2 linked regions of the Saccharomyces cerevisiae S288C genome follow. The gene in region 1 interacts genetically with each later gene. Each region holds a gene or a part of one and is shown in the gene's direction. Other genes may lie near its edges.

Region 1 (4,956 bases):
AATGCCTTTGTTGCCTTCAACGCGAACTATAGTACTGATGACCAGACCACTGATCTTTTTTTCAAGGGCATATCTTCTGTGTTGAATGCCACGAGATTGCCTTCAGCTACTATTTTTTTGGCTATAGATTATCTTTTCAAGTATATCAATAAATTATCTAATGGGATACATTCAATTGGTGGCAATTCGATCAATATCATTTATCAAAATACTATGATTGCGTTCATATTAGCAAACAAGTTCAACGATGACAAAACTTTCACCAATAACTCATGGTCACAGGCAACAGGAATACTGATAAATGTTATCAATGATTTCGAGAGACAATGGTTGAGAATATTTAACTGGGAATTGTATGATAGTGCTTTTCTTTATTTTGAGTTCGTCAAGAATTTTGAGATTTTCAAGCAAAATCAACTCAAACCTGCTGTAGCGGTTCCTACGTTATTATCTCCAATTGTCAACGTTGGTGATACGAGAAACGTAAATTTCAACTTGAAGCCTACTTCCACAAACAACCTATTATCTCCAGTTTCCAATTATGAAACCCCCATGCTGATGCCGCATAACATGTTTTCATCACCATCTTATCAGAGTAACTCAAGGTCTGAATTTTCTAGTATGAATGGTTATTATAACTATTACAACTATAATCAGCCAAGATTGAATTACTATCAACAATTCCCCAATATATATTCTTCACCAATTTCGGAAACTCAGTTTGATTACGACTTCTACAATTTCAGTAGTCAACAACAACAGCAACAACAAAAACAACACTCACTTTTACCTGCCGCTCCACAATTACCTCCCCCTCACGTCCATAATCAGTCTTACGGTCATCATCTTGGCTGGAAGTCAATGGATGACACAATAAATCATTCAAGATTTGAGCGAAACTACTTTCCGTATTCGGCAGTGTATTAGTGAAAACTTTTTTTTCCTTATTTTTTCTTTGATCCCATCGAATTACTTTCTCTTTTGCCCAGGATCATCTTTCTAATCTATCATTTTATTATTTTCTCTCATGAGAAAACAGAATTTCGAAACAGATATAATAAAAAAATTGAAAAATTTGAAAAAAAAAAATCTAGAAACATATTTTCCTAAAATGAAAATCGGAAGCTAACAAAATTTTTGAAAAACGAAATAAAGAAGAAAGATTATTATTATTACTTTTTTTATTAGTACTCCATATGGACCTCTTAGGTGAGTGATCTTATTAAAAAAAATAAAAAAAATAAAAAAATATGAAAAAAAAAGAAAATTAAAAACTAAACAAATTTTATGACAGGAATAAAAACTATAAAAAATGAAAACCAAAAAAAAAAAGCACTGGATTTTTAACATCTTGTCCTTTTCTTTCCCTTTATCATTTTTTCTCATTTACTTTGTTATTAATTTTTTTTTTCAAGTTCTCCACATATACATATGTAAGAATTGAGTCTATCTCTTTCTAATATTTAAGAAATACATAAAAAAACCAATTTTTTTTTTTTATTACTAGCAAATTTATTTTTGTGAAGTGAAATTCATACATTGGCTTATTAAAGGTATTAAATATTACTGAAATTTTATGAACCAAAAAGAATAATGGATGATTGTAAGGTTACATGCAATATATCAAGATATTACTAGAGATTATTTACCGCCAGCTTCTCTAAACCACCTGATGCTTCTATCTAAACAAACACAGCATAAACTTTCATTTAAATCAGCTCCCATACCAGATCTCCAACCTTTTTTCAAAAACTTCACGTCAAAGACACCAGGTTCAGCTAAAGAATCTCCATGTTCATCAACAGCTAAGATATCCTCTTCAATTTCAATATCATCACAATGCATATTCAATGTAGTGATTCTTTCCTTTGTTTTTACATCCCAAAATCTCAATTTACCATCCCATCCGGCACTGCATAATGTTTCACCAGAATCATTAAACGATAGACTCATGACCCAGCTAGAATGTGCAAATTCACCCAGACTTGCCTGCGAGCTATGGGTTGGTACGGATAAGGAGCCTATTCTTTCACCAAATTCAGTTTCATATAGAGTGATGCAACCAAATGAATTTGAATCGTGAGCAATGGCTAATAAGGATCCTTGAGGAGAAAATTTCACCGATCTGATGGAATTCGAATTATTAATCATAGAATGCTGAGATTCAAAATTGTACAACGGGCGTAATGTAGATAGTTCTGAAATTTGTACTGTTCCATTATTAAAACCTGTGGCAATTAGTCCTCGTTCAGAGATATCCACAGAAGTGGCAAATTGACTTGGAGTCATAGGCGATTCGACAGTGCCTTGTAATTCTAACGTGGGGCTCCAATTTAGTGTTAAAGAATTTGACTCATCTGCAAACGGGTGAAACTTCCAAATGTAAGTGGTCCCTTTGACGTCTGTAGCAACCAGCCTATGGGAAAGTAGTCTGTCATTTGAGGCACCCCATTTTAATGCCCAAAAGGAATGCTTTTTCATGTCTGAGTCTAGAAGATCCAATTTCTCGAATATAACTTTTTTAGTCTCATCTTCTCTAGTGATACGATAGAAGAGTAAATCGCCAGAAAATGAAGTGGTAGCAACAAGGCATAATTCAAATGCATCTCTCTCAATAGCTTGCAAGACATCGACATGGTGCAATCCGGACTTATGGACAAAGTGAGAATATGACTTATCTTTTGGATTTTCATTATCTAACAGCTTATTATCCCACACCTTTAAGTAACCGTCACCTGAACAACTTACCGTAAATGAATTGCAAGCAGAAACCGAGAAAATATCAGCGTCATGAGCTTTACCTGCATTTGCTGTGGCAATAAACACTTTGGACATTTTTCCAATACTTGATTAACCTCTTTTTCGTTTCTTGTCTTTATTTTAGATTTGTTTTAATATCGCCTAATTTTTCCTTCTTTACTTTATATTTTTTTTATTTTTCGCCTAAAGATTTGTATCAATTAATTAGCCAACAAAAACAAAAACAATAAAGTCATATAAGGGTTGATAATTGATATTGATGGCAGCTAATTCTGTAGGGAAAATGAGTGAAAAGTTAAGAATCAAGGTGGACGATGTTAAAATCAACCCCAAGTATGTTTTATACGGTGTTAGTACACCAAACAAGCGCCTTTACAAAAGGTATTCCGAGTTTTGGAAACTGAAGACACGATTGGAGAGAGATGTAGGAAGCACCATCCCATATGACTTCCCTGAAAAGCCCGGTGTATTGGACAGGAGGTGGCAAAGAAGATATGATGATCCGGAAATGATCGATGAAAGACGGATCGGACTAGAGAGGTTCCTCAATGAATTGTATAACGATCGTTTTGATTCTCGATGGAGAGACACAAAAATAGCGCAAGACTTCCTGCAGTTGTCAAAGCCAAATGTTTCTCAAGAAAAGTCACAGCAGCATCTAGAAACTGCTGACGAAGTGGGATGGGATGAGATGATAAGAGATATTAAATTGGATTTAGATAAGGAGAGTGATGGCACACCCAGCGTGCGTGGAGCACTAAGGGCACGTACGAAGCTCCACAAGTTACGAGAGCGACTAGAACAGGATGTGCAAAAGAAGTCTCTTCCAAGCACGGAAGTGACTCGTCGCGCCGCTCTATTGAGGTCCTTGCTCAAGGAATGCGATGACATTGGTACAGCAAACATAGCTCAGGACCGTGGACGACTTCTGGGGGTTGCCACCAGTGACAACTCTTCAACCACGGAAGTTCAAGGAAGAACGAATAACGATTTGCAACAGGGGCAGATGCAAATGGTGCGCGATCAAGAACAAGAGTTGGTTGCACTGCACCGAATTATCCAGGCACAACGTGGATTGGCCTTAGAGATGAACGAGGAGCTGCAAACACAGAATGAGCTACTTACAGCACTTGAAGATGACGTCGATAACACTGGTAGGAGGTTACAGATAGCCAACAAGAAGGCTAGACATTTTAACAACAGTGCTTGAATTAATGAGTTACTATCCGGGTTACAAATCCTGAGAGTATATTTGTACTAAAAAAAAAAATTGTAAATCTAGTAATTGAAAAATTTTGGCGATGAGACGATATGGTAAGAGTAAAGCAAAGGAACCGTCATGTCGTTTACTGCTCCTTCAGATCCCGTCAATAAACCGACAAAAGTGAAGGTATCACAGTTGTGTGAACTATGTCATTCAAGAAAGGCTCTCATTAGAAGACCCAAAAACCTGTCTAAACTTTGCAAACAATGCTTCTGCCTCGTGTTCGAGACGGAGATCCATAACACTATTGTAGCAAATAACTTGTTTCAGAGGGGAGAAAAAGTAGCCGTGGGGGCCTCTGGTGGTAAAGACTCCACGGTGTTAGCGCATATGCTGAAGCTTCTGAATGACCGTTACGATTACGGCATTGAGATTGTACTGTTGAGTATTGACGAAGGAATCATCGGATACAGAGATGATTCCTTGGCCACGGTGAAAAGGAATCAGCAGCAGTATGGCCTTCCTTTGGAGATTTTTTCCTTTAAGGACCTCTATGATTGGACAATGGATGAGATTGTATCCGTTGCTGGTATAAGGAACAGTTGCACGTATTGTGGTGTTTTTAGAAGACAATCATTGGACCGTGGTGCTGCAAAGCTGGGCATATCTCACGTTGTCACCGGCCACAATGCAGACGATATGGCAGAGACAGTACTAATGAATATCCTACGTGGTGACGTAGCAAGATTGGAAAAATCGACTGCGATTATCACACAAAGTAGCGGCTCTCCCATCAAGAGATCAAAACCATTTAAATATTCTTACCAAAAGGAAATTGTCCTGTATGCGCACTACATGAAGCTGGATTATTTTTCCACTGAGTGTACCTATGCCCCAGAAGCGTTTAGGGGCACTGCGAGAGAATACATGAAGAATCTGGAAGCAGTGAGGCCCAGTTGCATTATAGACATCATCCAAAGTGGCGAAAATTT
Region 2 (5,125 bases), on another chromosome or scaffold:
AAGTTGGAATCTTGCCTTAGTGCGACATCGTTCAAATAGATATCATATAAGTTGATTAAAGATTCAAATGTCGCCATATGAGCTTGTAACTTTTCAGTCCAATCTTTTTGATTAAAGAATTTGCTGTCATTTTCCTTTAGCTTTCCCAGAATAAATTGGGAGCACTCTTGCTCAAATAGCAAATAGAAATTATAGATGCGATCAAAATCACTGTACCTAAGTGTTTGCTGTAAACTTTTCTTCAATAAATCACCACAACTGTCAAGCCTCCCGCGAGAGATATAATATTTGGCAAGTGATAGGATCAAAAAAAGCCATTTGTCGGGATATATGCCATTCATTTGCCTCATGAACTCCTCATATTGATTATCTAAACCTAGTTTTTCTAGGCTGGCCAAATAATTGAAATTTAATTCAAAAGGCAGTTCTGAACTAGGTAGATACTTCCCACTATTTTCATCTTGTGGCAAATACTTTTCATATACTGATTTGATGGTAATATTGTCTCTAGTTAATGCAAGAGTTGCCAGCGATTCATTTCGTTTTTGCTGAGGAGCCACTTTTAAGTATCTTTCTAAAATATGTGACGACCAAATATCACCTCTACTTCCGTTTTCACTAATTTCCTCGCTAATAAAACCTCCCTTCGTGAAACCCTTCACTAAAAGTACATTTATCAATTCAGCTTCATCAGTACTTTCTTCTTCATCTTCTTGAGTTGAATCCAGTTGCGTTAATGGTAAAACTTTTTCTTCCACAAATTTTATGACAGGATCCCAAACTTTCCGATGCATTTCTCTCTCCATTTTCATTAAAGATGAAGCTAAGGCATGCCTTATCATTGCCAAGTCATATTGTTCAATTGCCAATTCTAAATAAGACAAACATATCCTGTCACAATCTCGTACACAGCTTTTCAGGCACCTTTGAAAAAGCCAGAAAATACGTGAAGTTTCGACTACTTCCTTTGTTGATTCCCAGCGTATATAATCTTCCCATATACTTGTATCTGTTACAAATTGTGAACAAAATCTTTCATATAGCCACCTAATCTGTTTGTCAGTTCTTCCCTCCTCTTTCCAATACTCGATATATCTTTTCCATGTAAGTATGTTCTGCGGTGTCTTTTGTATTTCGTACTCAAAAGCCACATCTTCATCATTTCTTATGTTCTCATCGACGTTTGTTATTACTCCTTTCATTGCGATGTATGCTGACATAGGATATATGGACACAATAAGTTTTGCGGTACTGAAGGATAGTTGAGTCCAATATGGAGGCCTGATTATTTCCTTTTTTTCTATCTATTTCCTTTTGTATTATTTTGACTGAAAAGCTTGCCAGCGTCTTTACTAAAATCTTTCATATGTTCGGACCGCTATAGTAAACTGAAACTTGATATTCAATAATTATCAATCTTCGAAGCTAAAGAAATACAAAATCTTTATTCGAAAAAGTAAGTAACATAATCAACCGCTGATTAGCACAATATGAGGATACAGTCGCTTTTTGTTTTATTTAATGTTGCCATCATCGCATGGTCATATCCATATGAGCCTTTAAGGGTTTTACAAGTAGGAGAGAATGAGGTAATGGAGGTTCCCGAATCAGAAAAGCTAAACTTACGAAGAAGAGGTGTCAAATTCTTTGATGTGACCAAACACACTTCTTTCTTACCTTTCTTTAACAAGGAGGAAGAGCCAACAGTACCAACGTATAACTATCCTCCTGAGATATCGAACAAAGAAGTAGTGGATGATTCGATTAAGAATATAGACAAGGGCTCTATGCACAAGAACTTGGCAAAGTTTACAAGTTTTTACACCCGTTACTACAAGTCCGATCACGGCTTTGAATCTGCCGAGTGGTTAGCTGCAACTATCGCTAATATTACAAAAGATATTCCGCAAGATACGTTGACTATTGAACATTTTGATCACAAAGAATGGAAGCAATATTCAATTATAGTCCGTGTCACGGGATCTACTACGCCAGAAGATATTATAATAATTGGTTCTCATCAAGATTCTATCAATCTGCTACTGCCATCCATAATGGCAGCTCCAGGTGCGGACGACAATGGGTCAGGCACGGTGACTAATATGGAGGCTCTCAGATTATATACGGAAAATTTTTTGAAGAGAGGATTTAGACCTAACAACACTGTGGAATTTCACTTTTATTCCGCCGAAGAGGGGGGATTGTTGGGTTCTCTTGATGTTTTTACAGCTTATGCCAAACAGAAAAAGCATGTGAGAGCGATGCTTCAGCAAGACATGACGGGATATGTTTCTGATCCAGAAGATGAACATGTGGGGATTGTCACCGACTACACTACTCCCGCATTAACTGATTTTATAAAACTAATTATCAACTCTTATCTATCCATTCCTTACAGGGATACACAATGTGGCTATGCTTGTAGCGATCATGGGAGTGCCACCAGAAACGGATTTCCAGGCTCCTTCGTGATTGAAAGTGAGTTCAAAAAGACTAACAAGTATATTCACAGCACCATGGATACTTTGGACAGATTAAGTCTCGCTCATATGGCGGAACACACAAAAATTGTATTAGGGGTAATCATTGAACTCGGGTCATGGTCCGCTTGGTAAAAGTCAGTAATATGCATACATAACTAATGATGCCTTACCTTGGTGTTCTTTTGTAATATACCTAAACCGATATCACGCTAGTATTTATTTCCCGAATTTTTTTGGCGTATTTCGTCATCTGAAAATAACATAATCAATGAAAGAAATAGAGTCAGTTGCAAAAAGTGCAAGCCAGCGCTAACCGCTCCCGATTTAGTCGCAATATTGATGGCAAACAGTACCAAAAACTGGTTACCCATATAAATTGTTTGGCATTGTTATTATTGTTATAAATTATTATTGTTATTATTATAAATTATTATTAGTATTATACAAAGTTTTCAATTCTGCAACAAGTTGGGCCGCAAAATATGGAGAAAAGCGAAAGTAATTCTGAAGGACTTTATCTCCAAAATATATTAAATGTTCCCCCTCCGCAGCGATTTATTGTGCTCATAATACTTGCCCTTTGGATCTGGACATGGATATTAAAATTCTTCTTGCATAGTAATTTAGACGTATCCCAAGTCATACTCACGAGAGTACCGCACGATATACGTCCAGGTTATACTCTACAGCAATTGCATAGAACAGCTAGAAATTTTGCTTTGAAGATAACAAGGATTATTATACCGTTCCACTTTGCCACTGTGTTCCTTTTTGAGTTCATGAATATTATAGAAGGTCCACTCAAAAATATCATTCTCATCGTATATTTTCTACCATTGATCCAATGTGTCACTATATTTTGGTTTCTGTTGAAAGAGTGCCAGATAATAAAATATTGTACTAGGAGATGTTTGTTGATAGAATCCTCCCCCCGTTCCTTAAGGAATACCTACATTTTAATCTCTGACACGTTGACATCGTTTGCAAAACCATTGATAGACTTCACATTGTTTACCTCTCTAATTTTTAGAGAACCCTTCACACATTTTGATCTATCCGTAGCCCTTCTTCCTGTACTGGTAAGACTACTGCAGTGTTTGAGAGAATACCGTTTACTGCACGAAGCAACTTTACTATTCAATGCATTGAAATACAGTTGTAATCTTCCCATTCTTTTTTGCACCTGGAGATCAAGAGTGTATGAGGGATCCATCAACGAAGAAAGACTACACCACGTTCAAAGATGGTTTATGCTAATTAATTCTTCCTATACGTTATTTTGGGATGTAAGGATGGATTGGTCATTGGACTCGTTAACCTCTTTAAGATCCAGATCCAAAAGTGCCGTCACATTAAAGAAAAAAATGTATCATTCGGCGATTCTCGTTGACTTTTTGCTGAGGTTCTGGTGGCTATGGGTATATTTATCGCAGAATCTGAAATTAGTTGCCGCAGATAGCGACTACATTTTTTTCCAAGGCGAAATGCAGTATTTCGAAGTAATTAGAAGAGGCATATGGGTCGTTTTCAAATTGGACGCAGAGTATTATATTAAGTTTGCAAGCAAATAATTTGTTGGGCAAGCCATATAAAATCATGCAAATGCTGTAAATATTTGTTCTATTTTCCCCGTAGAATGGTTTATTCGATATATTACATATAATAAACGAAAAATACATATGCACAGTATATACTTTTCCAAAAAAAAATCAAACACTGTTTGAGCGTCAAGAAACCCCAGGCGGTGCCCGACGATAATGCGACTGCATTATCTCCTACGCTTGTTGTCGTTTGCCTTTCTTTGGTTTATTCTTCGTTCATTTTTGGTCAAATATCTGAACTTTTTTACTCTTGGCTTCTTCTTTTGTTTCTCATCCACGCCCAGAAACTTCGCGTATTTGGTGGCTCTATTTATGCTTTGTTTGAGTACTTTTTCTGCCTTTTCTAATTTGACATTATTTAGCTGGGCTAAATATTCAAAGTTATCATTGGGTTCCAATGTCTCCAATTCAACAGTAGTTGAGTCATCGTATATTTCCGTGATTGCTCCTTTCTTCAAAATAGGCTTTACGCTACTTTCATTATTGTCGTTATCGCCGTCATCTTTATCAGAATCAAACCCGTGCCAGGATTCATCAGATTCTACCTGCAAATCCTCCGTCTTATCATTTTTCGCATCCTCTATCTCAGCTTCCAAGTTTAAACTCTCTTTAAACGTCTTTAACTGTTCTTCCATCACCTCCTTACGTTCCTGCCGAATCTTCTGTCTTTCTTCAATTTTTCTAAGCCTTTCCTGCTCCTTAATAAACTCTTGTGCTTTCTTTTGTCTTTGAAGCTTTCTCTTGTGAAAGCCAGTCAGATAATCCAAACGAGAATCCTTGTCGAACGTCACCTCATCGGTACCGAATTTCTTTGATTGCTTTGTAGCATAGTTTTTGCCTCTTGTAAGGATTTGCCTATTGGTGTGAACAGCCATAGCAAAAATCGAAAACCTTTAATTCACCCCTCTTGATTCGAGCAGCTACCAGGAACTTGAATATTGCAACTCTCTATTTTTTATCTGCTATTATCTGCTGCTTTGCAGAATCGATCCTCATCACATTTGAAAAATTTCAAATGTGAAAAGTCCCTACTTACCCGTT

What was found.
Region 2: mutations in VAM7 (region 1) and ERD1 together harm fitness more than expected from each alone (negative genetic interaction), as found in Saccharomyces cerevisiae (4 studies listed by BioGRID).

The regions. Positions count from the first base shown.
Region 1 is NC_001139.9:88,413-93,368, forward strand, and holds VAM7 (Vam7p), read left to right. Parts: upstream 1-3,019; coding exon 3,020-3,970; downstream 3,971-4,956. Other genes in the region: CLG1 (Clg1p), read left to right, coding at 1-927; SKI complex subunit WD repeat protein SKI8, read right to left, coding at 1,642-2,835; NCS6 (Ncs6p), read left to right, coding at 4,100-4,956. UniProt on the Saccharomyces cerevisiae protein: Essential for proper morphogenesis of the vacuole. May exist as structural reinforcement on the surface of the vacuolar membrane and be required for maintenance against rupture by osmotic pressure.
Region 2 is NC_001136.10:1,294,527-1,299,651, reverse strand, and holds ERD1 (Erd1p), read left to right. Parts: upstream 1-2,965; coding exon 2,966-4,054; downstream 4,055-5,125. Other genes in the region: mRNA splicing protein SYF1, read right to left, coding at 1-1,220; YDR415C (putative aminopeptidase), read left to right, coding at 1,491-2,615; rRNA-processing protein RRP17, read right to left, coding at 4,252-4,959. UniProt on the Saccharomyces cerevisiae protein: Required for the retention of luminal endoplasmic reticulum proteins, affects glycoprotein processing in the Golgi apparatus.